Pelodiscus sinensis: one gene and its partners. The protein of the gene in region 4 interacts with the protein of the main gene of each other region in a pairwise test. Links are inferred from orthologs where the notes say so. Each region holds a gene or a part of one and is shown on either strand. Other genes may lie near its edges. The genes, in order: ATOX1, MOB3C, WDR4 and FAM118A.

Region 1 (6,921 bases), on a different chromosome or scaffold from region 4:
TAACACCTGACCCTATAGCCAGGACTTAATGCCTCTTGTTCCCCTAGCAGGCAGCCACTGTATGAATCTCCTTCCCTAGTTTCTTGCAGGGAGATTTACAGTCACTAGGCTGGCATTATGCCATCCTCAGCATTAATATTCCCCCCCCGCTTTTTTTTTTTTTTTTTTTTACTATTTATATCCTGAGCCACATTGCAAGCTGCCAGCTCATAGATCAGTAGCAAGGCCTTTGCAGAGTTTAGTACAAGCCAAGGGGCAGCCGTGTAAAATAACCCTGCCCCACAGCTGGGAGGACAAACAGCAGAGAGGCCCACAGCAGCACGGTCTCTCAGATAACCCCCACGCTTGCGGAAAGGGTCACATCAGCACCTACTTTTACAGCACTGAAACAAGATGCCATTTCTACGTGCAGCGAAATGGCATCGGCTCTGACCCCGGTGCTACCGTGCCTCAAGGCGGGTATCATCTTCCACCCGGCCTCCCCAGAGGTGGGCCCATGCCCAGCTAACTTAGCGAGAGGGAACATCAGGACGGGCAACTGGAACCTGCTGCTCAGCATGATGCAAAGTACAACTGCGTTAAGAAGCCATTTCACTTGCTCTGGCCAAGGCCTGCATGGGACACTCGCTATTTCAGGGTATTTATCCAACTGAAACTTGGTGCGCTTCACAGGGAGACAGGCATGCAGTGGTGAGCTGCTGTCCATAACTCCCTCCCGCTACCCTTGATTGCTGTCTTGTCCCACCCAAGGCACCTCATTCCTGACCTGCCGCAGGCCAGTTACTCCAGTCCTCAACTGCCCGAGCAAGCCAGTTCATCTATTCTGACCTGCTGCGCCCCCTTCCTATTCCAGTTCTGGGCTGCTCAGACAGTTCTACTGATGCCTCTCAATCCTGATACATCCCCCTACTTCTACACAAGTCCTGGGGTGGCTACACAACAGCCTATGCCCGTGGGTCCCATGCGCAGCGCCTCCTCCCCAGCACACCCTACTCTCAGATTTACAAAGTAGATTGTTTCCACTCCACTGCTTCAAAAGATTAGTTCACTACCGTGTACTGGCATGGAGTGAGGGGTGGGGAGCAGGACAGGCATCACCACCTCGCTACCAGAATTTGGAAGACACTTGCAGTTCCACACAGGCTCGAAGGTAGACAAACCTCCGGGAAGTCACTTTCACCTGACCGATTCTAGAGCCAAAAAAACCAGACCACGTTAGGCTCACGGGCTATGTCTACACTGGTGGCTTCTTGAGCAAGAACATCTTGCACAAGGGTTCTTGTGCAAGAAGTCTTGCACAAGAAAACGTCCACACTGCCATGTGCGAGCTGTGCTTTTGCGCAAGAGCGCCCATGGCAGTGTGGACGCTCTCTTGCGCACGAAAGCTCCGATGGCCATTTTAGCCATAGGGCTTTCTTGCGCAAGAAATCCCTGCCGAGTGTCCACACTGCCCTCTTGCGCAAGAGCTCCTGCGCAAGAGGGCTTACACTCTTTTTTATCAGGTGTATCACTTGTGCAAGAAGCCCTCTCTTACTATGCCGTACTGTAAATTTCCTTGCTCAAGAGCGGGCGGGCAGTATGGACGCTCTACAGATTCTTGCGCAAGAACAGCTGTACTTGTGCCAGAAGCTGCGGGTGTAGACATAACCCCGTAGTGCTTTACCCCACACTGGTCAGGATTCTCCTGCTTACAATTTATAATCTGAAGGGGGATTTCCTGATGCAACCAAGGGAAATCGGCTCCCTCCAGCCTAGTAGCCTTCTAATCTTCATTGTTATCTCCCCTTCATTGGGACCTCACAGCCACCAGCAGACTTTTCATTCCAGAGCTAACTACTACCCCTTAATCTCCAACATGCGCATCCTTTTGTGCCCTGGATGGTGGATTTCAACAGCTGTTAAGTATCCAGCCATTGATTCAGAACTTTCCCAATTGTTTCACCAACTCTTTAACACCTCCCCTCCCCCCCACAACCCCCTTTTAAATCTCTTTTCTGCAGACTACAGCAGGTACTTCTGTTGCTCCCTCACACACATTCTTCAGCTGGGAGAAAGTCTCCTTTCCACACACCCAACCAGATTCTCAGAATCTGCACAGCTGACATCAGCTTTCACCCATTTCCTAATTAGGAGTGAAGAAAATCTGTCACGATTGAAAAGAAGATTTCTTCCTTCATCCTAACTTGTGCATTCCCTGATTTACTGTCCTATTGCAGCTCTGTAGAAAAGGGAAAGTGAATGAGTGGGGTTCCCTTTGGATTTCACCTACACTCAAGAAATTTACCAGCCTTAAGTCATTTGGTTGCCCCCCAACACACTAATGAAACATTGGATTCCCCCTGGGAAAGTGCTCCAAATATAGTTCAGATTAAACTAGCTTTCAGGAGGTCTGAATGCAGGGCAGCTTCCTCTAAACCAGTGTAATCCCAGCATGACCTGAGGGCTCAGAAACTCCAGTCCTTCCACTGTTACCTTTTCTCTCCCAGTAGCAAGTAACTTTTGCTCTCAGTCCTCCCCATTCAGTTCATCTCCACTAGGGCTTCTGGCAACTGCCCTCTGGTGGCATTTCAAAATATCCCAGAACCCACTGCTTCTGGAACAGGAACTTGCAAATGACAATGGTGCTTAGGGGAGCTCCAGCTGTAGCCTCAAGAAGCAGCGGTTCTCAACCAGGGAGCTCCTGGGGGGCTGTAAGCAGGTTTCAGGGGTGGGGTCCACCCAGCAGGGCTAGTGTTAGATTTTCTGGGGCCCAGGACAGAGGGCCGAAGCCATACTGCATGGGGTGGATGCCTCGGCCCCGCCACCTGGACTGAAGCCAAAGCCTGAGCAATGTAGCCTCAAAGGGGCCCATCCAATTGCCCTCTGCCCCAGCCCAGAGCCGCCCTTACCCTCTGCCACAGCACGGAGCCGCCCTTACCCTCTGCCCCAGCACGGAGCCCCATCCCGCCCCCAAACTCCTTCCCAGGGCCCGCATGCCTCACCTACACCCCACTAGGGATGTAAAATGTCGATTAACAGGCTAATCGAATAGTCGATGCAATCTGCATCGATTAGTCGATCAGAGGGGGAGGTGCCCTTACCGACTAAAGTGTCCCAACAGCCCCAGGCCTACACTTCAAAGGCGAAAGCGCTGCAGGGAGCGTGGAGCCGGCAGGTGACTCAAGCAGTCCCCGCTCGCCGCGGAGTTTCACAGTGGCAGCACCGCATGGATCCCGGGGCCAGTCCCCAAGAAGCACCCCCCCCCTTCCTGTCTCTTTCTGATAGAGGCAGTAAGGGGGAGGGGGAAACGACTAGTCGGTCACATCCCTGCACCCCACCCGTCTGCCCCCGCCCCCAACACCCTGAGCCCGCACCCCCACCGCTCTGCCCCAGCCCCCGGACCCCCCACCTGCCCCCACCGCTCTGCCCCAGCCCCCAGGCCCCCTCCTGCCCCAGCCCCCGGACCCCCTCCTGCCCCTCACACCTCTGCCCCAGCCCCCGGGCCCCCTCCTGCCCCAGCCCCCGGACCCCTTCCTGCCCCCCACCTCTCTGCCCCAGCCCCCGGACCCCCACCTGCCCCCACCGCTCTGCCCCAGCCCCCGGACCCCCTCCTGCCCCCCACCACTCTGCCCGGGCCCCCTCCTGCTCCAGCCCCCGGACCCCCTCCTGCCCCCCACCTCTCTGCCCCAGCCCCCGGACCCCCTCCTGCCCCCCACCGCTCTGCCCCAGCCCCCGGACCCCCTCCTGCCCCCCACCACTCTGCCCCAGCCCCCGGGCCCCCTCCTGCCCCCGCCCCCCAGCCCGGAGCCAACCCCCCCCAGATCCGCTCTGGGGGGGGGCTGCGTGGGAGGCGCGGGGCTCCCCGCTGCGTGCGCTGGGGCCGGCCCGGGGCCCCCAGCGAACCCGACCCGGCTCCGTGCGCAGCGAGCCGAGCCCCAGGGCGCCCTCCCGCGGCTCGCCGGCCGGGCAGGAGGCGGCGGGCGGGGCACGTCCGGGGGGCGGCGCCGGCCTCTTGGTGCGCGGAGCCGGGAGAGGAGCCGCGCAGACGAGCCGCCCGCTGCCATGCCGGTGGGTGGCGCCGCCCGGCCGTGCCCCGCGGGCGCTGTCTGGGCCGGCGCATCCCTTGCGCTCGGGTTCCCACGGGCTGAGCCGAAACCCGCCCGGGGTGGCCCCGATCCAGAGTCCAGCCGCCGAGCCAGGCCTCCGGCCAGGCCGGGTCCAGCCCCGCTCCGAGCGCAAAGCGGGGAAGGCTGGAGCCCGGGGCGCAGGGGGAGCTGCTGGGCGTGTGCCGGGAGGGCCCGGCGAACTCGTTCCTAGCAGCCACAGCGAGAACAGGCTGCTCCTTGGGGGAGGGGGCCTTGGGAGACAGTCCCCAGCGCAGCTTAATGGCACCTGGTTTCCTTTACCTGGGGGCCATCCGGCTTGGGGGAAGCCAGCCAGCTGCCAAACTAGCCCCTGGTTCTCCTCCAAATCCCCCCCTCCCCTTAAAAATGCTCGTTTGTTGTAGCGCCTACGAAATGCTTGGAGCCTGCTGGTGTATTGGCACCGCAGCTTCTCAGGCTGGCCAGGGATTGCTTCTGCTGGCCTGAGGGTCTGTATCCTGGGTGGTCTCTTTAGATGGGAAGTTCCTTGGGGTAGGTTGGTTCACGGTGCCCCTTATTTGTATATACCTCTTGCGGCTAGCTGGGTGCTGCATATGTTTGCCTCCAGGGGTGGGGTTCCCATCCACTAATTTTACGGAAGGATAGGTTTTTCATTTGGAGGTATCCTTTCCAAACCAGACAGCCACCCACAGCTTGGTGAAGTTTTAAAATGGCAACGGAAACGAAAATTGTTGTCTTTCTGGATGAAAATCTTCCCTTGGAGCCTGGGGAACTCAAACAGAGGGACAGAAAAGTGATAGAAATGTAGCCGTGTTAGTCTGGGGTAGTTGAAGCAAAATGCAGGACAATGTAGCACTTTAAAGACTAACAAGATGGTTTATTAGATGATGAGCTTTCGTGGGCCAGACCCACTTCCTCAGACAGAAAGTGACTAAGGGTTTGTCTGTACTTAAAACGCTCTAGCAGTGCAGCCATAGCGTAGACACTACTGTGCAGCCAGGAGCAAATCTACTGTCAGGGTAACTAATCCACCTTGTCCAGAGGTGTGGATTTTTCACACCCCAGAGTGATGTAACAGGGTTGATGTAATTTTCTAGAGCCAACCAGGCCCTAGTGTTGACAAAGCAGTGAAATGAAACCAATTGGTTTTATCATCTGAATAGCATCTAGACCACGTTAGAATGAACAAGAAAATTAGGGTTGTTTTGGTTGTACTAATTGCATGTGTTCATTAACAATACAGGGAAATAGATATTTTATGTTACTGGGAGAGTCTCTCTTAGTAGCAGCTAGAGTCCAAATTGTTTTTAACTCCATCTATGCCAGTCGGGTCCCTTTAATCATGTTTTTAAAAGTCTAGCAGTATTATGAAGAAGGATCCAGTTACACTAGGTGAGTAAGAAAAAGACAGTCCCCTCCTCAGAGAGCTAATGATCTAAGACAACACAGCAGGCGGATGCAGGTGGATTGTGGAGCCCGAGGAAACAATCAGCTAATGTTGTAACTAGATATGCCGGAGTTTGCAGAAAACTTGGTTTTATGCCAAGGGTAGGCTTGCAGGGTTTGAATTGTGACCAGAGCCAGGTAGCACAGGGGAGAGACCACCTGGCCCATGTATTGGGGTCATTGGTGACAAAGCAAGAAGGGCTCTGTGGTTGTCTCCAATCTGTTCTCTCCTCCTCATTGCAGAAACACGAGTTCTCTGTGGACATGACCTGTGAAGGGTGCTCCAACGCGGTCACACGCGTGCTTAACAAGCTGGGAGGTAGGTGACACCGCTCTGAGTCTGGGGTCGAGTGACAAGCGGATGACCACGACACGGGCTCCGTGCCCACGACTGCCCCCTTTTTACAGAGCAGTGGAAAGGCTGCTCCTTTTGTTTTACTTGCCACGCCGGAAGCCAGGTGTAGGACTGCAGGGGGATCGGCAGTTGGCTCTCCTGTAGATGGGGGTTTCCATACGAGCCTTAAGGTACCATCGGCTGCTGTGGCAATATAATGGAAACTTTAGTCCATGTCCGCTTGCGCTTGCCCCTGCCTTAAGCTAAAGATTGCGCATGGCAGCCCTTGTGTCAGAAGAACCATTCTGGCTCAAACGCTGACTGCTCGTGGTGCTGTAATAATTGTATCTGGGACGGTCACAGGCCCGTCGCGATGCCCCGTAAATGTGGACAGTGGCTGCTGTTCGCAAAGGCTCCTTTGCTTCCCCGCGTCTCTGTGGCTGCCACTGTTGCTTGCCAAGCGCTGGGTGTGGAGTCAACTAGCATCCCTGGAGTCGCTGTGTCGTGGCAAAATCAGCTGTGGTGGGGGCCGTTTTTTGGAGGCTCCATCGTGCCGGATGATGCCGTCCATGAAGAGGGGGCTGCTCTGTTGGCAGGTGACACAGCCAGCCTAAGCCCCTGCCAAGGCACAGTGTGGGGGGGGTGGCTGGATAGTGTGGCCTGGAAGAAATGGGAGATTTCTACAGAGCCATAATGTCACCCCACGTATTACAGGTTGGACCTCCCTGGTCCGGCACTCTTGGGACCTGAGTGGTCCTGAAGGAGGGATTTTGCCGGACCGGGGAGGTCATTTCGGCCCCCCAGCCCGGCTCTGGGCCTTGCCTCCCGGCAGGCTTCCCACATGCGAGCATCCCTGTTGCCCTGCCACAGCAGCCCACGGTCCTGCCGCTGGGGCTCTCAGCTTTGCCACAGCAGACCACTGCCCTGCCGCTGGTGCGCTCAGCCCTGGCAGCACCAGTCCCGCCAGCCTGCAGTCCTGGTGCCGGGACGACTCCTGCCCCTTCCTTTTCCCATCCCCCACCCATGGAAGACTGCCCTGCCAGCCCTACCCAAGCCGCT
Region 2 (7,850 bases), on a different chromosome or scaffold from region 4:
AAAAAGCCCCTGCTGACACATTGATAGCCGAAGAGCATCGGCAGAGTCTAAGGGGAAGCTGCTAGGGGAAGTTCAAAAAGGATACACTTGAGATCTTTAGTTTGGTTCTTAACCTCTCCGGCCAGGTGTCCAATCAACCTACCTGCCACTGTATTAACAGGGCTGTCCTTACTATGAGGGAAACTGAGGCAGCTGCCTCAGGTGCCAGACTGTGGCAGGGGGGCGCCCTCAGGACTCAGAGTGTAGAAAATTGTGTCTGCTGCTGCTGAACAAGGCATTTTAAGTTGTTAGTTCTCCTTTATCGGGGTAGGTAGCAGAGCAGTCCCATGAGAGGAGTAGGACAGGAAGAAGGCAGAATTGAGACCTTTCAAAGTTTTGTCCCAAGCAAGGGGACATGTGGGCGTCCTTTGAGCTCCCCGCCTCAGGTGCCAAAATGTTGTGGGCCGGCCCTGTGTATTAACGATTATTATTTGGGCTCTGAGGAGTGCCCCACGCCCAGCAGGTGTGCGGGTTACATCACTGCTGTAAAGCACACAGCCTATCGCATTAGTAATGCCACTGCAGTCCATGGGACAGAGACGCTTCAAGTTAAGTGTGAGCATATGGATTTGCTGGGTTGGAGCCTCGTCGCGCAACCGTGCTACAAAGAGCTGCATAGCTGGAAACAGATCTCAAATTCTCTCCCCGATAGTCCGCTATCTCTGCCCTGTCCTTGTCCGGCCTTTGAGTTGAACTCATCGAAGGAGCCATGAAATGATTATATTTTAAAATGGTCCCAGGAACACAGTGCTCTTCAAACGGGGCTGGTTTTGCTTTCGGCTGAAGACCCAACCCAGCTGTGCTGCTGGGGAGGAACGGGGTTACTGGCCGCGGATCCCAACTATGAATGATGGAAAATTCCAGGAGACGTTCCAAGTGTCTCGCTGGGAGGGGGAGTTAACAGGCCGGGGTGTGAAGGGCTGTGGGAGAGGCCAAAGCGCACTACCGTGGGAGAGGGAGCTCGGACAGGGAGCCCCAGCTGAGCCGTGGGAGAAGATTGTCCACCAAGGACTTGGCAACTGCCTTCGGTCCCCTGGTGCACAATACTCCAGCCGTGCAAAGTCCTGCTTCCAGACACCGGCCCCTGCTGGTCTTGCTCACTGCCCACTGCCAGGCAACCCCTCCCTGGTGCTTGCACCTCCACTGCCTGGCAGCCTGCTTCTCCCTTCACTGTCACATCTGCCTGCCTCTCAGTCCCCTTGCCCTGAACTGGTGTTACTGGCTGGCCCATCGCTCTGCCCAGGGCTAGCCCACTGTGGGCCTGGCATCACCCACCTCAGCTGCTGCTGCTCCTCCAACACCCTCTTAGCATGCGTCTCCCAACACGCCTCCTTGTGGGGTTCGTCTATCCTTGTGGGGCTCCAGTCTATCTTGGCCCTGTCACCATAGAAACCATGTCTTCCTCCTTCCCGCCCCTCTGTGAGGCAGGGCAGGGTGATTACCCCCATTGCACAGAGAGGCTAAGTGACTTGCCCACGGTCACATGGGCAGTCTGTGGCAGAGGAGGGATTGAACCCGGTCACCACGGAGACAGCCTTCCTTTCACTAGACCGACCCTCTTATGCAAATAACAGAAGGGAGATGTAGCTCCCTAGCCAGCGTGTGTTGCAGGTTCCTCCCTCTGCCTGATTCACAGAGGACACAGGTCTACCACTGCTGCTAGCTAGAGGATATGAGCCAACACCCGTGGGTAGGGACGGTGTCCCTGACCTCTGCTGGTCAGAGGCTGGAAAGGGGTGACAGGAAAGGGATCACGTGATGATTCCCTCGTCTGTTCACTGCCTCTGGGGCACCTGGCATTGGCCACTGAGGATACTGGGCTAGATGGACCTTTGGTTTGACCCAATATGGCCGCTCTGATGGAACTGGGGAGACGCTCGTGCTCTTCGCTCAGCCCTTAGTAAGGGTTGCCATAGAGGCCCTACCCCAGAAGGTTTCCACGTGCGCAGCTCCCATGTGAGGCTCAGACATAACCCCAAAAGCACAACACAGCAGCCGCCTACAACTCATCCTCGGGCCAAAGCCAAGCTCTGCCCGGTCTCTGTACGGACCAGCTTCTAGAACATGCCGTTTCCTCCCTCACGCCACCAGCTCTGGAGGTTTAACTGCACAGCTCTACCCACACGCCCAGCGCATTTCATCTCCCAGACCCCTGTCAGCTTCGCCTTGCAGTGGCAACTGGCCCCGGTCCAAATTCTGAAAAACACAGGATACGGCTTCCAAACGTTGGCTGTTTTGGCTCCTCATCTGCTCCAGGAAGTCACATTGACTCCGCTCGTCTGCTCAGAAAGCCACATGCGCTTCCCCTCTCTATATGTGCTACTCTCCCTCCTCCCCCCCGCTTAGCTGGTTCCTTACGCTCGCCCCGGACACACAAAATATGGGGGAGGGTCACTAAATATCGTCCAGCTGACTCTAGTTGGCAGCAGCCAGCTTCTGAAATGCCTCCTCTCCCCACCCTATAAAATGGACCAGCAGCAACTTCATTCCTGGGGTCAGAAGTTGGGGGAATTAATCCACTTGCTGCATTTGCTCTTGTCCCCCGTGGGGCTGGGACACAGGGCAGGCTAGAAGGGAAAGTGTGAGGCTGGAGGGGGAGCTGCAGACAGTTATTCTCAGAGCAAGCCAGAAACTTCTTCAGGAAAGTTTTATAAAACCAAACAAACACTCACCTAACTCCAGACCTGATCTGAATTGGAGAGCAACTGTCCCCCGCGGGTATGGACAGGTCAGCTAGCTAGGTCCTCCGGATTTCTTCCGAGCGTCCTCCGTTTAGTCCTGAGTTCCCAGAGTCAGGGAAAAACTCACACACGCACCAGCCCTTTCTGGGGTTTTCATGAAAGAAACTCTGCCTAATCTTTTTCTCCCCTCCCAATGATGTCATATCCTGAGAGTGTCTAGAAGTACAGCTGCCTGAGCAATAACTGACTGACACACACACACACACACACACACACACACACACACACACACACACACACACAAAAGAAAGTTGTGGCTCGCCCTGCCCCCCTCACGCCTCAATCTGTCTGTCTCCTGTTTCCTCTCTGTGGCATTGTGGTAGCTGTGAGTCCCAGGATATGAGAGACCCGGGGGTGTGGTAATAACGGCTCCCTACCAATGCTAAATAATCAGTTCTGCCTTGTATTTAACTGTGATGCCAGGAGCCAGACCGGAAGACAAGCCCTGGGTAAGCTCGAAAACTTATCTCGGTCACCGACAGAAGTTGTTCCAATAAAAGATATCGCCTCACCCACCTTGTTCCCTGACTCTGTGGTGCTTTTAGCTGTGTGAGTATGTCCTTCGGGCTTTGATGCTGCAATATCTCCTTTGGCTTATGTGTCCTTCCTCTAGTTGGCTCTAGTCCACAGAGATATGAAGGAATACTACAAGCGACGGTTTAGCTCTCCAAGGCTGTGTCCACAGCAGCGTTGTTTCGGAATAACGGATGCTATTCCAAAATAAGAACATAAGAACGGCCATACTGGATCAGACCAAAGGTCCATCCAGCCCAGTATCCCGTCTGCCCACAGTGGCCAATGCCAGATGCCCCAGAGGGAGTGAACCGAACGGGTAATGATCAAGCGTCTCTCTCCTGCCATTCATCTCCACCTTCTGACACACAGAAGCTAGGACACCATTCCTTACCCACCCTGGCTAATAGCCATTAATGTACTTAACCTCCATGAATTTATCTAGTTCTCTTTTAAATCCTGTTCCAGTCCTAGCCTTCACAACCTCCTCAGGCAAGGAGTTCCACAGATTGACTATGCACTGTGTGAAGAACTTCCTTTTATTTATTTTAAACCTGATGCCCATTAATTTCATTTAGTGGCCCCTAGTTCTTATATTATGGAAACACGTAAATAACTTTAGTCACCAAGCTGAAAAATCCCAGTCTCTTTAATCTCTCCTCATATGGGACCCGTTCCAAACCCCTAATCATTTTAGTTGCCCTTCTCTGAACCTTCTCTAATGCCAGGATATCTTTTTTGAGATGAGACCACCTCTGTACGTAGTATTCAAGATGTGGGCGTACCGTGGATTTATAGAAGGGCAATAAGATATTCTCCTTCTTATTCTCACATAACACAGTCCATGTCTACACACAACACAGTCCATGTCTACACACAAGCAGTTCTTTCGACAGTGCCAAAATAACGTTTAGCTGTTGGACTGCTTACTCCGACTCCTTGTAACCCTCGGGGTGCGTCTAGACTGGCAAGATTTTGTGCAAAATCTTGCCACCTCTCTACACTGGCCATGAGTATTTGTGCAAGAACACTGACTTTGCACTGTACAAAATCAGTGGTTCTTGCGCAAATACTCCGACGCTCCCGCTCAGGGATAAGCCCTCTTGTGCAAGTATTCTTGCACAAGAGGGCCAGTGTAGACAGCCAAGTTAATTTCTTGCACAAGAAAGCCTAATGGCTAAAATGGCCATCGGAGCTTTCTTGCGCAAGAGAGCGTCTACACTGGCACGGATGCTTTTGCGCACAAGCAAATCTTTTGCGCAAAGGCACATGCCAGTATAGACGTTCTCTTGCACAAATACTTCTAATGGAAAAACTTAGGTGCCGCATAAATTTTTATGAATGTAAATGGCTCCGGAGCCCCACAAGTTGGAGAACCGCTGGCATAGCTCAAGTCCTGTAGCTGATTTCGGTTTATGCCCTGCTGGGTAGATGTGAAAAAGTGAATGGAAGAGAGAGAGAAATGAACTATTCTCCTTCCCTCTGCTGCTGAAAATCAGCGGATGGATTTCACCTTCGATGAGAGCAGCTGCACAAGCATCACCGTGCCCGGAGAAAGACTGGTCTCTTGATCAGCAGAGCTTACTTACTGGGCTAGCCCACCGGGAACATTTAATCAATGAATGTGCTGAGAAGTTGCTTCTTTTCAACGTCACGTTCGAAATAGAGGTCTGAGCCCACAGTTCAGTGCAACGGATCCTGGCTCCAGCTTATTTGTGTCTGCAAGACTGGGTCTTGATATTTGTATATGATAAAGTTCTTTAAAGGAGCTCAAAACTCTTGGCATACTCCTGCATTCCTGGGGAACCCCAAAGCTGCCTCTAAGGCTGTGTCCAGACTCAGGGTTTTTTTCGAAAAAAGTAGCCTTTTTTCGAAAAAACTTCACCTGCGTCTAGACTGCAGCCGCATTCTTTCGAAATTAAATCGAAAGAACGCGGCTTTTCTTTCGATGGCGGAAAACCTCATTTTACGAGGAAGAACGCCTTTTTTCGAAAGTGCTCTTTCGAAAAAAGGCGTTCTTGACTGCAAACAAGGGTTTTTCGAAAGAGAGCATCCAGACTGCCTGGGTGCTCTCTTTCGAAAAAGCGGCTTGCTTTTTCGAAAGTTCCGCTTGCAGTCTAGACGCTCTTTTTTGAAAGAGGCTTTTTCGAAAGTATCTTTCGAAAAAGCCTCTTTCAAAAGAGGCTTGCAGTCTAGACATAGCCTCTGTCAGGGGCAGGGAACCTTCTTTGGGTAGGGGGCTGCTGGCCCACAGAAAAATCAGCCAGGGGCCACACACAAGTGAGAAGCACAAAACAAAACAAACCCCTTCACCGATACGACCCCCGACTAAGAAGGAGAAAAACACTCCCCATATTCCCCTCACACACCAGAGCATGGGGGTCCCAGGCTAGTAGATTTTTGTGTGTTCCAGCCCGATGGGGGAACAATGGAGGGGGGGGCTGGAGCACCAGTGTGGACTCCCCAATACTGGGGGGAGCCCCAAGCCTTGGGGGCTGAACCCAGGCCAGCTGGGGGCTGCATCGGGCCCCTGGCCTTCGGTTCCCCAGCCTTGCTCTAAATCATATGGGCATTGTAGGGGTGTGAGGAAACTAGAATGAAGGCCCTGGGAATTGCACACAGCAAGTTTCTGTTCTTATGTAATTACCGACACCTCCAATTTCTGTGGCAAAAACATCCAATTTCCTTCACTGTTTGCTTTTGGCTGCTTTTTCTCAGCTCAGATTAGAGAAAGCAACTGGGCCTTTGCCTATAATCAGTTTCGCCATCAGGTTGCCTAGTAGTGGCACAAAACTTCAGTGTTCAGGTAGCAAATATTGCTGGGGAGTATTTGCCAAAGGGGGTTTCACTGTGTGTGTGTGGGGGGGGGGGAGAAGTGATGGCAAATTGTCTGTTCTTAGCTGCTGCAAACCCTTATTTCATAAAAGGGAGATTTAGGGCCACGTTTGGTCTGTCAGCATCCATTGGGTACATCAAGTCTGTAACAAGCCCCCAATCCCGAGACTGACCTGCAGATTTCCTTAAAGAGGGTAATCAACATATATGTGATCTAATCCCTCTGCTTGCCACTGCCACTAGTAGCAGCTCAACTTTACATTAGAGCCATCTTTTTCTCTAAAATGATATAATGTAGCAGTGAGTTCCACAAGTTAATTGTTTCCCAAGTACTTTCTTTCACCAGTTTTAAGTTAAAAGTAACTAACTGCATCAGATGCCCGTTGTGAGGAAGATGTTCCCAACTGGCCTTGAAACCATCATTGTTTTATATACGTCTGTCAGGTCACCTCCTTGCTATCATGGTTTATAGAAGCATACTCATTCTTACACAGGAGGCATTTATTAAAGAAATTGACTACAGCTAGAGACACAAACAGGCTTCCATGCAGCTTGAGTCCCAGCTTTGTCTCCCTTGTTTACCAGTATAGCTGTACCTTGCCTACAACTCTAGACAAAACACAGGGTCACCTGAGTAATATCCTGCAATGAAGACAGAGTAGATTCTGATCTTACTTCCCACTGATTCAGGAATAATTCCTCAGAATTCTGGGGTGTTACCCCACAGTGTAAAAATGGAGTTCCAGCTCAAGCACCAGATTTTGCTCAGTCACCAACACGGTCTCCCCTGGCTCCCTAGCCTGCCTGCATCACCAGGGTTCCTGTGGGCCTGGTCACCGTTTTTGTGCATGTCACAGTCCCTTCCTGGCACAGAGTGAGTCTCAACTGCCATCTCCGCCCCTGGGCAGAGAACAACGTGCGGAGCAGTTTGATTTGCCTTTCCCTTTTTCATCACCCCTTAGAATCTTGTTGACATGACATGAGTCATCCAGGAGGCAGGAAGCCACAGACCCTTCAGCTAGCAAAAAAAAAAAAAAAAAAATCACACCCCTCCCTCCACGGCCTTGAATTCTAAACTGTGCCTCAAGAAAAGGCAACAAACGTGAAACAAGAAGGCACGTTCCCCCTCCCCCACACCCTGGTCTGTTCCCTTTTCCGGACCCTTGGTCTCTAGGCCAGACCCGAAACTGGTGCAAGTCACCTTAGCTCCACTCAAGTCAACAGAGTCACGCCAGTTCACGCTGATTGAGGGTTTGGCACTATCTCCACAGTCCTTTTTGGAGAGCCATTAAATCATATGGCTTTCTCCAGCACTTCCGTCCTGCTGCTTGTCCCTCACAAAGCAGGGGGTGGGGGCGGTTGATTTTTTTGCATTAAATTTGAGGTTTGCAGGCACTGATGTTTTCCACATGCTGCTTTCATCCTTTGCAGAGGGCTTGAAGGTTACATGTTCCTCGTGGACAGCCAATATGTGACTTAAGTGTCCAATGTACAGTTCACCTTCAACAGAGAGGGCCCAGCCCTGCAGAGACTTATGCAGGCAAGTCACCTACATAAGTTTTAGCCCTACTGGGCCCTAGTCCCCCAAATATGGACTCTACTTCATATCATGTTGGATCTTGTTCATTTGGTTAACAGCTACAGGAGGCACTTACTAAAGCAATCGACGACAGCTAGAGACACAAACAGGTTTCTATGCAGCTTGAGTCCCAACTTTGTCTC
Region 3 (7,472 bases), about 67 Mb from region 4:
CTTCGCAACATCCTCTGGCAAAGAGTTCCACAGGTTGACTGTATATTGTGTGAAGAAATAGTTCTTTTGCTTTGTTTTAAATCTGCTACTTATTTTCATTTGGTGACACCCTAGTTCTTGTGTTATGAGGATTAAATAGCACTTTTTTATTTACGTTCTCCATGCCAGTCATGGCTATATAGATTTCAATAATTTCTCTCTCTCAGACATCTCTTTTCCAAGTAAAAGAGTCCCAGTCTTATTAATCTCTCCTCATATGGAAGCCATTCCATACCCATAATCATTTTGTTGCTCCTTTTGGAAACTTTTACAATTCCCATATACAGTTTTTGAGATGGAGGGATCAATACTGCGCACAGTATTCAAGATTTGGTTGTACCATAGTTTTACAGAGAAGCAATATGGTATTTTCTGTCTTATTATCTATCCCCTTCTAAGTGATTGCCAATATTGTTTGCTTTTTTGACTGCCACTGTACTCTGAGTGGTTGTTTTCAAAGAACTGTCCACAATAGCACTCAAGAAAGAGATCTTGGAGTTAACAACTAATTTAGAGACTCCATCATTTTACATGCATTGTTGGATGTTTTTCAATGTGTATTATTTTGCATTTATCAATATTGAATTTAATCTCCCATTTTGTTTCCCAGTCACTCAGTTTTGAGCTGTCTTTTTACAGCTATTTGTAGTCTGCCTGGGACTTAATTATCTTAAGTAGTTTTGTATCATCTGCAAATTTTGCCACCTTGCTATTAACCCTTTTCCAGATCATTCAGCTAATTTAGGAATATGTTGAAAAGGCCTCAGAGCAGACCCCTGGGGGATACCACTGTTTACTAGAGACATTAGCATGTAGTCATTTATATATTTAATCGATATGCTAGGGCTTACTGGTTAATCCAAATGACTACACAGACATCTCTCCCCTTGCTGCCTCTGTATCAGAGGCCGGGGGAGGGGAGAAGGGAGGGAGGAGAGCCAGTGCCTGTAGGGAGCCAGCTTTTAAATCTGCTCCCCACATGTGCTGGTTCCTGCGGAGCTGCCTGCCCCCACTGCTCCACCCCGAAAGGCATCAGCGCAGGGGGACAATCAGGAGTCAGTCCTCAGGGAGCGCTGGTCTAAAAGCTGGCTTCCCACAAGTACTGGATCTTGCGGAGCCACCTCTCCCACACTCCACTGCCTTGCTGCTGCCTCTGATAGAGAAGCAGCAGCACAGATGGTGAGGGAGGCAGGTAGGAGCCAGTGCATGTAGAAAGCTGGTTTAAAAGCAGACTCCTCACAAGCACTGGCTCTGCGAAGCCACTTGCCCTCCTGCACTGCTGCTCCTTCCTGCACTCTTCACCTTCCATGCTGCTGCCAGCACAGGGGTGGGGGGCAGGCGGTTTTGCCAGATGTGGTGCTCCTGGGGAGCCAGCTTTCAAGCCAGCTCCCCCCAAGTACGGGCTCCTGCATGCTCCCTTCCCGCCTCCCCTGGCTGCTGCCTCTGTGGGAGGCAGAGGAAGGGGGTGAAAGCAGCACCACAGGAACCAGCACACATAGGGGCTGCGTCTAGACTGGCAAGTTTGCTGAAAAGCTTGCCAGCTGTCTACACTGGCCGCTTGAATTTCCACAAGAACACTGACTTTCTACTGTCTGAAATCAGTGCTTCTTGCGGAAAAACTATGCTGCTCCCGTTCGGGCAAAAGTCCTTTTGCGCAAAGCTTTTGCGCAAAAGGGCCAGTGTAGACAGCTCAGATTTGTTTTCCACAAAAAAGCCCTGATCGTGAAAATGGCGATCGGGGCTTTTTTGCACAAAAGAGCGTCTGGATTGGCACGGACGCTTTTCCGCAAAAAATGCTTTTGCGGAAAAGCATCCGTGCCAATCCAGACGCTCTTTTCGGCAAATGCTTTTAACGGAAAACTTTTCCATTAAAAGAATTTGCGGAAAATCATGCCAGTCTAGACGTAGCTGGGGAGTCAGTATCAGAGGCAGCAAGGAGTGTGTGTGTGCACGCATTTAGTTGTTTGAATTAACTCATAAGTCCAGGCTTATCAGCTAATTGTGTAAACCACTACATGCTAACATCCCTAAAGGTTAACCAGTAAGCATCACCCTTCATGGGTGATGCTTACCAGTTCTGATTAACCAGTGGGGACTGAAGTGCTCTCCACTCCCCAAGGGCAGGGCATTGCTGAAGCCGCGCAGGACCTGCCAGAGACAAGGCCACTCCTGTCCGCCCTGGCGAGTGGGGGGGGGGGGGGACTGGCGGGGATGGGGAGATGGGAAGCACCCATGCCTAATTGGGCTGCAGTGGCCCCTGGTTCTCTCTTTAATTGGTCAACCCATTAACCATGTTTAACCAGTTAATCAATTAATGTTAGATTCCTAGTTTCCAGTGAATGGTGCCTCTTTAATTCTGGCAGTATCCCTTTAAAAAGATACATTTAACATAACAAGGTACAAGAATAAACAGCATACTGGGTAGTAAAACAAAGGCACACACTAGTTAATAAGAATGTTTTCACGTCCAGTCGGGAATTCACCCTCAAAGCATTACTGGCTTTAAAAAGCATTGAAATGTCATCTGGGGCCATGCTGATGCTCCTGAACTCCCGGGGGCGGGGGAGGCCTTTATGCAGACATCTCATTGGAGGGGGTGGGATTTAAAGGCCGGACACAGGCAGCGGGAGCGTGTGGCCGTGTCTCGTCCCGAGCCAGCCGCTCTCCGGTTCCACGCTGAGAGAAGCCCCGGGGACGGCACAAGCCTGGCCCGGGACGGGCTCCCGGGACCATCCTCCCGGCCGCTTCCCCGGGCAGCGCCACAACCCCCGCACTGACCTGGGCTCCTGATAGCGGGCTGCTAGGAAGCGACTCCCGCCGCTGGCAGCCATCAGGCCTCCGCAGAGCGCCAGCCCCGGGCCGCGACTTCCAGCCCCCGCCGCCTCCATGCACACAGCCGCCCACGTGCGCGCCCCCAGCTGCGGCTTACCGAGCCGGCGCGGAGTGAAGACGTCACAGAGCAACACGAGCTGATTAATGACGTGATAGGAGCCCTCCCTCCCCCCGGGACTTTCTATAGGTCCTGAAACAAGTAATTCAAGCTTTGATCCTACAAAGAGGCCAGAGCTCTGCGCACAGGACCCTGCCGGCAAATCCACTGTCAAACTATGCTGAGAACTTTACGACAAAGAATGTATGGCCTTGATTGTGCCATTTCCCCATTTGTGAAATTGGGATAACGAGGTGTACTTGTACATGGGCTGCAATAATTCGTTAGTTGTTTTGAAACAGTAGTCCTACCTACTGTATGTTCTACAAAATCATTTCTGACATTTAAACAATAACACTGGATAGATACTTCAGGGGGTTCGTTACTATTCTGTACACATAGTCCTCCAAAGTAATTGATGGAACTTCAGGGGGTAGCCGAGTTAGTCTGTTACAGAAAAAAAACAGCAAGCAAATGGTCTGGTAGCACTTTATAGACTAACAAAACATGTAGATAATACTTATTTAACACTCTTATCAAAGTGCTTTTCTAATATAATAAACTATTCACTAGTGGTGGTATTTTTAAAATGTCGCTGCACCATTATGTGTAAGTTATTCCAAATTTCCAAGCCAAAATTAATTATACATAAACTATGGTGTGGCATGCTCCCTGCTACCATACTGGTTCCCTAGGAAATTAAGATCTAATCTTGCACAACACTGAATGCTGTTTGGTGTTTTGCAGGACTGCAGCCCTAGTTCTTTCCAGTGCAGTTTTCTAACAGCGTGTTGTTGAAAAAAATCTTCGGGACTGGCACTAGCCATGGGACAGGACAGCCCTGGGGCGGAAGCACAGGCCTGGGGAAGGATCATATGACCGCAGCATCAGAAGTGCCAGGCTGGAGTTGTTGCCCGTTTCACTGGCCGCGCCCTCGAGCAGGTCCCTCGCGCTCCGCACTGTGTGTGTGCGGGGGGGGGGGGGGGGCTGCGAGGGTTCCCCCGCCGCCAGCAGCTCTTGCGCGGGGCGGGGACGAGGGGGCCTGGCACGTCGGGCGGTGGGCGGGGCAACGGCAACGCAGCCACTAAGGGGCGAGGTCCGCGCACCGAAGCCCCACCCAGCCCGCGGAGACGCTCGAGCCAGGCCGCCCCAGGGCTCGGTACCTTTGCTGCGGGGGCCGCGTTTCCGCGGGGCACAGACATGGCGGCCGCCGCCTCGCTGCTGGGCTGCGGCCGGGCTGTGACTCGCAAGGTGAGTGGCGGGGACGATGCTCTCCCGGGGGTGGGGTAAGATGCGCGCGCACACCTGTCTCTCCCCCGCCCCGGGACCGGCTCGCGCTAGCGGGGCTTCCCGTTCTAATCAACCCCTAACGGGGTGGGGGGGGGGGTGTTGAGGCTCTTGCTTGGGGCGCACGCGCCGCCACTCAGCCACGCCCCACGCACGCACAGATTCTAGGGGCCACTGACTCCGCCCGGGAGTGGGGAGGACGAGGACAGCGGCAACCACGCATGCGCCAGGATTCTGTCGCCAGTCCCACGGAATCTGTGTAGCTGAGTGCGGGGGGGACTAGTGCGCATGCGTTGGCGCCTCACCTTCCCAGAGGCTGCCCGTACACAAGACGGCGCCGCCCTGTAGATGCTGCGCATGCGCTGTTGGTGTCTGAGGTTTGGGCGTGGTTCGTGCAGCTGAGCAGGGCTCAGGCCTGGGCTGACACCAGGAGCCAGGGAGGGCCTGTGGCTGCCCCCCTTGTACTGGGCAGGCAGGTGGTGCTGTGGCAGGAGAGACCTCTCTGCTCTGGAGCCCTGCCTGGGGCTAAGAGCATGGAGCTGCGCTGGCACTAAGTGCCACTGGCTGGGTTGCTGTGGCCCAGTGCCTGGCTGTGCTCAGGCCTCCCTCTGCAACCGGGAAATGTTTCCCTGCCAATCAATATCCATTGAAACTTCAGCTTTTCAGAACATTCCAGCCAGTCTGTCTGGCAGCCACCTCAATAGCCAGGGCTGCTGCTGTCCCTCCTAGTGGAGTCTGGGATCTATGCCTGGTCACACCGTTCCAGGAGAGAAAAGTGTGTCTAATGCAGCATAGCCTTCCTGGTGAAGACAAGGCCCAGGCAGGCAGGGTTTCATTTAATACAATCTGCTGGAATGGTACTTGAAAATTGTTTCAAACGTATATAAGTAGGTTTGGAAGGATTAGATTTTTACCAGTAAATATCAATTTCACTTCATACACAAACCAGTGAAAAATATTTCCATTGATAATAATCAATATTCAGCAAGAAAGTAATAAAAATGTGGCCTGAGAACTTATTACAGTAAAAAACTGCAGTAGTTTAGGTTTTTAAAGTAGGCGTGTTACAAATGGACTAGTGAATAGTAAAAAACAGGTATGATTTAAGATATCCCTTCTCGACCTTTTTTCTCTAAGATGAAGTAATTTTTAAGGTGATGAAGACAATTTGGCTATGTCTACACTCGTGGCTTCTTGCGCAAGTACAGTCATTCTTGTGCAAGAATCTGTAGAGTGTCCACACTGCCCGCTTGCTCTTGCGCAAGGAAATTTACAATATGGCATGGTAATAGAGGGCTCCTTGCGCAAGAGTTATGCTCTTTTATCAGGTGTAAGACCTCTTGCGCAAGAGGGCAGCGTGGACGCTCAGTAGGGATTTCTTGCACAAGAAAGCCATATGGCTAAAACAGTCATCAGAGCTTTCTTGCGCAAGAGAGCGTCCACACTCAGCGGTGGATATAGGGCAGGGCGAGCGGGGCAGCTGCCCCAGGCTCCGTGCTTCAAGAGGCCCCGCGCACGCTACGTCCGGTTAGCTGCTGCTGAGGCGCATGCACAAAATTGTGTCTCCCTGGGCCCCGCAAAATTATCATCTGCCCCTGTCCACACTGCCATGGGAGCTCTTGCGCAAAAGCACAGCATGCACATGGCAGTGTGGATGTTTTCTTGCGCAAGACTTCTTACACAAGAACCCTTGTGCAAGATGTTCTTGTGCAAGAAGCCGCCAGTGTAGACATAGCCCCAGTGTTTTAATTAAGGATGTAAAGGAGTCGATTAATTAACTCCTCGTATTCTTCCCCCCCCCTTGCTGCCAAAGGCAGCAAGGTTGGGGGGGGGGGGGGCAGCAGGAGCAGGTGTTGGGGGAAACTGGTTAAAAAGCCAGTTACCTCTAGTACCATCTCCACAGCACCACTTGCCCTGTCCCATCAGAGGCAGCAGTGCAGGGGAGCCAGGAGAGGCTACTCCAACAGCAGCCCCTGTCCATGATACAAATTGTATCAACTACACGATTACCTGCCTTTTAACATCCTTAGATTTAATGGTTAATAAACTTATTTTTTTCATTTCAACTAGGGATGTTAAAAAGTGTTTAAATAGTCAACAGGATAAACATATTGCATTTTAAAGTTAAACTGGTTAACTGCCTATCCTGCTTCAGCCGCTCTGACACAGCTGGGGGAGGAGTCCTGGAAGCTTGCCCAGCCAAATTGAACCACAAATGTTGGGGGTGGGGCCACATTTGTGGTTGGAGTCACCCCGGGCCTCCCCTACATAGCCAGGGCCAGGACACCATCCTGTTGCGGTTGGGGCCAGAATCCCTCTAGGCTGCTCCCCTGTAGTTGGGGCTGGGATGCTGCTGTCCTCCCATCCCCCTCCCATAGCCAAGGGCTCCTTCGGTCTGGGGGGGAGAAGCCCCCACCTGTGGGGTGCCCAGCTGCTCCAGCCCCCACTGGTTAGCCTTAACTAGTAAGGCACATCCATTTAGGGTGATGCCTGATGATTAACTGGTTAAACTTTCACATCCCTAATCTCCGCATCTGTTGTCTTTAAATATTGTTCATTCCAGTTTCCTGCAACGATGAAAATTTAAATCATTATAACCTCCCATAATTTTGCACTACTGTAAAAAATTAAATCAATAATAGAAATAAAAAATGCTTACCAATAAACATCAGTATTGTCTGTAAATTATGAAAATAGACTTCTGTCAATCCTACTTGGGAGCTCTAATGTGCTTCTTTGCAACCAGTCTTGCATATTTCTGCATAACAACACAAGAAACAGATCAAGAAACGAAAACAAATCTCATGCTTCAAAAAATAATCCGACTATAACTGGTACCAGAAGGAAAATCTTACACATTCATACTATACGTCATTTTACATTTGACTGTTTAAAGTGATTTTTGCCTTTCTCTAACAAGTAGTGGCTACTGTCTGACTCTGGTCTAGATAGGTACATGATCCATTCCCAGATCGCAACTTCGGTTGTATGTCCATCAGAGATAGTTGTGGGGGGGCGGGGGGGGGGGGGGGGAAGAACCACTGTGCAAATTTTGGCTTGGAAGGATTAGATTTTTCTCAGAAAATATCAATGTCAGTTTACTCGCACAAACCGAATTATTTCTATTGATGATCGAAATATGCAGATAGGCAAAGTAAGAAATTTATTTAAATGTATTCATTTAAGGATATACTTTGTATATTTTGGTGTGTGATGT
Region 4 (7,911 bases):
GGTCACATTAGCTGAATCTATAAGCAACTCCCTGAGGTACAGCAACTACTAGGCAAGTCGCTAAATAAGATACTGCTTTTATACTCTCCTTTCTGCAACAGCCCACACAAACGGTTTGTTTCCTCCAGGCATACCTGCTACCTATTTTGCAATAACAGCTTAACCAAGTATGAAATATGCTGGCAATGGAAAAAATTACAAAAGTTCACATGCTTTTGAGCACCCCTGTTATTTTTAAAATTTAAAAATATGAAAGGGTTATCGGGTAGTTTTATACAGTAACCTTCTATCTTAATTTTGTTCTTACTCTGTTGTGATAGCCTATACTGCAAATATTTTCATGTTGTCCTTAAAGGGAGACCATCAAGGACAGTAATTAACTCAAGAAATCCTTTTTGTTCATGTCCTTGACTTTTGCACGTTTACAAACTTATTGAGCTTTCTCATACAGATACTTTAAAAAAGTTCCATGTCATTTTGCAGAATAGTGAGGCCCAATCCTCAAAGGGGTCCAAATGGGAGGATCCTTATTCTCCTAGAGTTCCACTAAATCTACAGAACTCAAAGGCAATGTAAGAATCTGCCTATATGAATTATTTTGAGGATTAAAATCTAAATAAGTAGGAAGAAGAAAAAAAGGAGGAAGGGAAGTAAAACAGTATGCTAAAATTTTGGAAGACTAAAGCAGCAAATATGATCTCTACCTTTTCACAAAGGTGCATCTGGAATCTTTAAAGTTCATCTTCACTCCCACCTTAACCTTTGGGTGATCCCCAAGTAACAGACATCCCCTACTTTCTCTTGCCCTCCAGATCTCTCTCACACTAGTTACCATTATATTTACCTCGATTTTTGTTCGCTTCTGATGGTTGTCCTTTCTTCTGACTCCATCTCTGAACCTATTTTTTAAAAAGGGTAGCAACTCTTAATACTTCAGTTTACATAAAAAAATGCCCCATTACTATCAAAATTAAATGTTGTTGTATTTGACAGTTTCTTAGCTTTTTTCAATTTATTAAATTAACAATGTGTGAGAGACTTCTCACAGAAAGTAAAACTAATGTAATGATGAACTCTGATTTCAAGTTGTCAACTGATTTAAGTAGAGCTATGAAAATTTACACCAGCTAACAATCTGCCCTATATCTAGATCCAATAAGACAGAATGCAATTTTTCAAAGTCATATATATATATATATATATATATATATATGCTTCCCTTAACTCCAAATCTGTGTGGCAAGTGGAGAAAAAGCTGTTCATTTAAGTGTGCAACTTTTCTGCTTTCCAAACACTCATACACAACACACACACCCTTCCTCATTTACGGCAACTGTAAAAGAGTCAAATGAAAATATATTTAACTGCTCAAGAATGTTAGATGGGTTTCAAATCTTAAAAAATAATCCCATTAACAAATGCTTACCACCGAATCTGTAAATTGTAAAAAACCAAACATGATACAGAAAAGGAAAATAACAGCTCTTCAGTGTTATTCGCTTTATTTAAGAAGTTCAAATTCAGCTTAAGAAAGCACAAGTCAAAATACCTATTTAGATAGTTACATTTATTTTCTTTAAATAACCCCCACATGCACCATCTTGCCTTCACTTCTCTAAAGATATTTTTACTGTATATGAGTGATAAGCCAGAGATGTCAAAAGAAACAATTATAAAACAAAGGTACATAAGAAACTTGTAATTTAGAAGCATTTTAAAAGATAATCAATACTTTTCAAAAATACCATACATTTATGCTCCTTCAGCAATGGGGGAAATGGGAGCAGTGGCTGAGAGTCACCTGAAGAGAACAGCCTGCAATATTAAGTGATCTGGGGCTTGAGTCTAGTCTGCCTTGGAAGTGCGGCAGGGCTGCTGGCCAGGAGATGCTTAGGTAAGTGCCTTCCAGCTAGAGTCTGCCTCTGGCACCTCTGCCCCTCCTGCATGCCAACTCCCTCCCACAGGTCAGCATCCAAACCCTCTGCACCCTCTTCCCCTAGATTACAACTCCTTCCCATACCCCCTCCTACACCCTTCTGCCAAGTCAGAAGCCTGTCCTGTGCCTGTATCCCCTCCCCAATCTTGCACCCCATTCCCCAGCTTCAGGTCATCATCCAAACCCTCCTACTTTGCACCCCCATTTCCCAGATCAAAATTCCCTTCCAGACTTTGCACCTTCTCCTAGAGCCCCTCCCCAAGGCCAGAATCCTTTCCTGCACTGGCACTTGCTCCCTGACCCTACACCCCACTCCCTGACCCAAACTCCCTCTCAGCTCTCACACCATCTCCTGCACCCCAGTCCCTTACCCCGTTCGCCCTTCTGCACCCAACCTCCATCCTAGCCCCGGTATTTCCGGCACAGAAAAGCGAGGCCCTTCACCATTTCCCAAAAATCTTGGAGTGGTCCCTTACCAAAAATTATTGTCCAACCCTAATCAAGACCTTAACCGGTCCTGCCGCGAGGGCAGGGGACTGGACGTGATGCCCTCTGGGGTCCCTTCCGGTTCTGGCGCGCTAGTCCACGCTCCCCCTTTTTAATCCGCGCATGAAACCCCAGCGCGCTCCCTGCCCAAGGGATCTGCGGCTCCGGCAGAGGATTATTTTTCTGCTCCCCCAAGAAAGCACCGCGGAGGTGCCGATGCAGCCGGCCAGGCACGCGCCAGGGGGGAGCGTTGCTATTTTGATCCGTGACCGTTGACCCCTTTCCCGAGCTCGGGCAGGAGAGCTCCGCGCAGCAGCAGCGAGTCTCCCCCCGCCCTCCTACCACCGGCTTGGGAGTTGCGCGCGGGCAGCAACGGCTCCGGGCAGCGCCTGAGGCGGCCGGTAACGCCCCCGCCCGCGCGCCCACAAACCTGCTGGGCTCCAGCGCCGCTCTCTCTGCGCGCGCGCCGGCCTCGCTCTCGGCTTTACCCCTCCGGCCGGGGGCGGAGCCAGCTGCTCAGCTCTCGCCCCGCGGCCTTCGCCCACCCGGCTGGTGTCTCCCAAACACGCCCCGCCCCCCCCCCGCCGGGAAGCCGCCTCGCGCCAGGGCTCCGCCCCCCCCCCTCCTCCCTAGGGCGATTCGCCCCGTCCCGGCTGCTTTTAAATACCCTGCAGCACCCCCCCCCCTTCGCAGCGCGTTTCTCCCCGCCTTGCGGTGCAGCGCGCGCTAACCGGCCACCCAGTTTGCTGTGCAGCTTCCTCTCGCCCTCAGCGAACCCAGTCGGCGGTGCCTGGGAAAGGGGAAGAGCCGGGACGGGAGTGTGATCCGGGACATGGCACGGGAGGGGGCATGTCAGCCCATGGTCAGGGCAGCGCGTGTGCCTGGGCGTTATACACCCAAGTCTTCAACTGCTAGGACATGAGGTCCTGTCGCAGAGAGCGGCCTTAGGGGAGGCTGATGGGCGCCCTGAGAAGTTTTACATCCCTGTCTTTGACCGCTAGGACCGGGGTCCCTTCGCGGCGGGCAGCCAACAGGCTGACAGACACCCCAAAGTTTGCAGGGAGAGCTTATTACACCCAAGTCTAGCTGCTAGAACCGAGGTCTGTCCCCTGGAAGCGACACGGTCCAAATGCCCAGCTCTGCCCTGTGTCTGCTCCCTATGACCGGCTGGAGTTCTTTTAAATTGTACTTGGTTCTGTTACAGCAACTGAAGGAGTCAGGTTAAAGCTTAAACAGTTACAGGTTTATTAAAGAAGCTTATAAATCCTATGGTTACAATGGCTATTGCTCTATTTCTTAACTGCTAGCAAATATAGATCTTAAAAATGGTTACAAAGAAAATAAAGATAGAAAATAGAAATAATGGTACCAAGTGACAGCTTAATCTTTAAAGAGCTCTAAGTCTATGTGTACGCTTAAGACAAAGGACACATCCAGGTACAATTTTTACCCCCTTCTGTGCCTCTCGACTCCAGCATGTCAGGCCAGGGCTGGTCCCTCAATTCCTAGGAAAGACAAATACGAGATGGGCGTCCCCGTGGAACCTCAGGAGGCCAATCACCTAACCCGACCAGCAGATAGATGGTAGATTGATGCTCAGAGTGTGGGCTGCTGAACCCATCTTTATACCCATAGGGGCCTGTATCCTCTTTCTTATCTAAGATGCCAAATTGTGTTGGTCCGTCTTTGTGACGCCAGTTCTTACAAGGGAGTTTCAACTTAATTTACACTTGCAAGAGAGAGAGTACTGGACATTCTTTACTGGGCGGGAGATTCCTCCCCCCGCGGACAGCTGTGTGTTTGTATCAATATAGGTGCCAGCCAAGGCAGTTCTCGCAGCCTCGAGGTCAACAATTGGAGTATCTCTTTATAGCCATCCAGGGTCACAACAGCCAGCATATCCAGGCCTTCTGTCAAGGCTTCAAAGACTATGCTGATCTTACTGCTCTGTGTGCCCTGTATGCTCCAAGCACCTAAGAGGGGTAAGCAAGATGGATATTACAGGGCGGGGGATTCCTGTCTGGCTACAGAGCTAGGGGACAGGTTGTGATACTGAGAGTGGCCATTTGTGGCAGCTGCAGCACCAAGAGAGTGGCCAGCAGGGCTGGGGTTCCCCTTGCCAGCATATTGGTAAAGAGCCCTCATGCCCCAAAGCGGGAGCCTACCATCACCATGAAGAGTTTGCAGGCTGCGGGGAAGCCGCTGGAGGGTAGGAAGCCTTCAAAGCTTGGCCTCTCCCCAAACAGACTCCAGGCCATAGAGAGGGCGCTGCAGGAGGGGAGCAGCCCCTGAAGACTCACTCCCACCCCTTCAGGCAGCCTGCAGACCAGGGCAGAGGGGGTGGTAGTCTCTGGAGCTGGCTCTCCCTCAGAGAGGCTGCATGGGAAGAGGGAGGTACAGCTGGAGGGGTCTGCTGCTGCTGGAACCTCATCCCCTCCTCCCCCCAACAACCTGCAGGCTGTGGAGGAGGGTAATTGGGGGGGTCCTGCTGGCAGGAGAGTTCTGCCATGGTCCCCTGGGAGGAGTCACTATGGGAGTTGCACCACCTTCACCACTACGGTTGGCCCCAGTAAGCCCTCCCCCACCACCCTGTGTTTAGCCTCTTGCCCTGAGTCCTGCACCTTCCACCTGCCTTGACTTATGCATTCCCTCCCCCTGCAGTGAGCTCCCCCCACACACCTCCCAACCCTCTGCCCTAAGCTCCCTGCCCCTGAACTCTGCCCTAAGCCACCTACCCCCTACCGCTCCAGCAGCCTGAAAATAAGATCATAGAGAAAACCCAATGTCTGTTGGGAAGAGAATGTAGCTAAACCTATTGTCATCTGAAAAAGAAATGTTTGGTTTAATTTGGGGTTGTGCAAAAATTGAGGCCACTTCTCCACTCTGGTCTCAGGTGAATCAGAAGAGTATTTGTACCATATTAATATGCCTGAGTAAACCTCCAGGTCAACAATCTATGTCACCTCACATAGAAGCTGGTGACAATCCACACTGTAATTCACGTTACTATGCCTGGGACCAGAGCGGCAGGGCCTGGTGATTTAGAAGGATCTGGGGCTCTGGGTTGCTATAGGCAGCAGCTCGAGCGCTGAGCCCTTTAAATTGCTGCCAGAATGCCATGTGGTGCAGTCCAGTCTACATTGAGGGATAGCTGGAGGAGGCTGCCTCCTAGCCCTGCCCCTTCCACATGAGCCCATGTCCCTCCTGGGGAATCTGGCGCTAATGTCCCCATGCATATTCTCCAGGGTCCAGTGAATCGGTCGCCAGCCCTGCCTGGAACCCAGTGTCACTGTTCATGAAACTCCATTTGACATTGAATGGTTAGAAAACTGGAACTTTACTATCTCTAAATAATATGCTGAGAGTCTAATAATATTTTGCTAATATAAGAGTTACAGATGCTTTCTAAATATTTTCCTGGACTCAAGATTGTGACCCCTGCCTAGTTTACAGTACTTTCTTTTCTTGTTTTACATTACTTTAAAAAGTAATAAACAGAGGACTACATTATATAGGCACTGTGCATCCTGTGCATAGAGCTAGAAAATTAGCCAAAGACAAATGTTTTTAAGATATTCCCCTTCCATACCTATACACTAATGGTATTAGGGAGAGCTTTAAAGTAGCTTTCACAGTCTTGCAATTGGTTCCTGCATTTTCACTAAGGTATATGCATACCAGAGACAGAAATGGTAAAAAGAAATGTAAAGTTCAGTAACAAGAGGCACAGTAAGAGAAAGGCATAATGTGTTGAAATGAGAAGAGTTCTCTCTTAAGTAGTAGACAGTGAAGGCTAAGAACTGTTGTTATAGCTGAGGAATTCAGTGACAGCAGAGTCCTTGGGAAACAGGGAAAGCTAAACATAACTGGAAAAGAGCAGTACAATGGAGGTGTTCACCAGTTAGTTACCTCTGACTAAACCCAAGAGGGAAGCAAGGTGAGAAAAGTGGGGGAGGAGGAAGAAGAGAGAGAGGTATGATACTCAACTGACCATTCATTGCTTTGTACCACGCAGTGAGTTCAAGAGCCACATTCAGACAGATCATATACAGGGCAACTCCATTAAAGTCTTAATTTGTTTCTGTTGGGATTTTTGTGGTTCCCAGAGAGTCAGATGCTGGGCAGAATCAAGGGTCTTCAATATTTCAATTCAATTCAACAAGACTTTATTCAATGTGCACAAAGGCACAGCCCCTGGTACTAAAATCAGCCAGAGCCCCTCAAGCAAGAAGCACATGACAATCAGATTCAACCTTTCCATATATGGCTTTGTTTGTCACATGCTAGTACTTCTCCACTATACATGTTGGCTGTGTCTAGATTGGCAAGTTTTTCCGGAAAAACTTGCCAGCTGTCTACACTGGCCGCTTGAATTTCTTCAAGAACACTAACAATGTCATGTAAGATTGTCAGTGTATTGAGGAAATACTATGCTGCTCTCGTTCGGGCAAAAGCTCTCTTGCGCAAATACTTTTGCGCAAGAAGGCCAGTGTAGACAACTGAGAACCGTTTTGCGCAAAAAAGCCCCGATGGTGAAAATGGTGCTTTTAATGGAAAAACTTTTCCGTTAAAAGCATTTGCGGAAAATCATGCCAGTCTAGATATAGCCATTGAGTTCACCTCCCTTCCCTTGGCCTTTTCTAGACTGTTCTATGCTTCTTTAGGCATACCTACTTTCCAATCCACATTTTGTTTAAAATGAACACATGCATACCCTTCAGTTTCCAAAACTTATACAGACAAAGATATTTGTAATAATATAAAGTGAGCACCATGCACTTTGTATTCTGTCTTGTAATTGAAATCAATGTATTTTAAAATGTTTAAAAAAATATATTTAATACATTCCATTTGGCATTCTATTTTTAACAGTGTGATTAAAACTGTAATTAATCATGATTACCTTTTTAACTCACTATTATTATTAATTGTGTGAGTTAAATGAGATTAAGTGATAGCCCTACTTAAAGCCCTAGCTAGAGAAGCACCTATGATTGATGAGAACCATATATGATTCTCACAAGACAGCTCACCTCAAAATCCCATACAAACCCTCCCTTAGACAGGGCACATCACCATACCTCATGCTATATCTTAAACTAAGTGATTTACTTAATGCAGAAGTTCCTAGATGTTATGCAGGAGCTTAAACTAGAGTATCATAATGGTGCCTGTGATTTTTCACCTTAACATTCCTTTAAGACTCCTTGAAAATATCCAAATTCCATAACTATAATCTGAAAGTTCCTACAGTCTACATGGAGAAATAGGCTTTTAGATACAGGCAGTCCCCGAGTTACGCGGCTCCGACTTACGTCAGATCCGTACTTACAAACGGGGCTTTTCTGGCCCCGGAGGACGCGGGCTGCGGGACCGCCCAGACGCGCTGCGGTCCCGCCGCCCGGGTCCTCCAAGGCTTTGCTCCGCGTCTCCCTGGTCTGCTGGGGGGCTCCCCCCAGCAGACCAGGGAGACGCGGAGCAAAGCCGCG

Evidence for each region.
Region 1: the proteins of FAM118A (region 4) and ATOX1 interact in binary tests that used the Homo sapiens proteins (3 or more experiments, as listed by UniProt). The two-hybrid records come from large-scale screens. The link is inferred for Pelodiscus sinensis from reciprocal best matches to the Homo sapiens genes FAM118A and ATOX1.
Region 2: the proteins of FAM118A (region 4) and MOB3C interact in binary tests that used the Homo sapiens proteins (3 or more experiments, as listed by UniProt). The link is inferred for Pelodiscus sinensis from reciprocal best matches to the Homo sapiens genes FAM118A and MOB3C.
Region 3: the proteins of FAM118A (region 4) and WDR4 interact in binary tests that used the Homo sapiens proteins (3 or more experiments, as listed by UniProt). The two-hybrid records come from large-scale screens. The link is inferred for Pelodiscus sinensis from reciprocal best matches to the Homo sapiens genes FAM118A and WDR4.

What each region holds. Positions count from the first base shown.
Region 1 is NC_134727.1:36,245,209-36,252,129, reverse strand, and holds the start of ATOX1 (copper transport protein ATOX1), read left to right. Parts: upstream 1-3,904; 5' UTR 3,905-4,041; coding exon 4,042-4,047; intron 4,048-5,771; coding exon 5,772-5,847; intron 5,848-6,921. UniProt on the Homo sapiens protein: Binds and deliver cytosolic copper to the copper ATPase proteins. May be important in cellular antioxidant defense.
Region 2 is NC_134719.1:3,779,870-3,787,719, forward strand, and holds the start of MOB3C (MOB kinase activator 3C), read right to left. Parts: upstream 3,001-7,850; 5' UTR 2,712-3,000; intron 2,346-2,711; exon of another isoform or gene 1-2,345. UniProt on the Homo sapiens protein: May regulate the activity of kinases.
Region 3 is NC_134711.1:190,828,871-190,836,342, forward strand, and holds the start of WDR4 (tRNA (guanine-N(7)-)-methyltransferase non-catalytic subunit WDR4), read right to left. Parts: upstream 3,005-7,472; 5' UTR 2,928-3,004; coding exon 2,818-2,927; intron 1-2,817. Other genes in the region: NDUFV3 (NADH dehydrogenase [ubiquinone] flavoprotein 3, mitochondrial), read left to right, coding at 4,169-4,219. UniProt on the Homo sapiens protein: Non-catalytic component of the METTL1-WDR4 methyltransferase complex required for the formation of N(7)-methylguanine in a subset of RNA species, such as tRNAs, mRNAs and microRNAs (miRNAs).
Region 4 is NC_134711.1:123,742,744-123,750,654, reverse strand, and holds the start of FAM118A (protein FAM118A), read right to left. Parts: upstream 3,001-7,911; 5' UTR 2,853-3,000; intron 2,847-2,852; exon of another isoform or gene 2,413-2,846; intron 900-2,412; 5' UTR 892-899; coding exon 845-891; intron 1-844.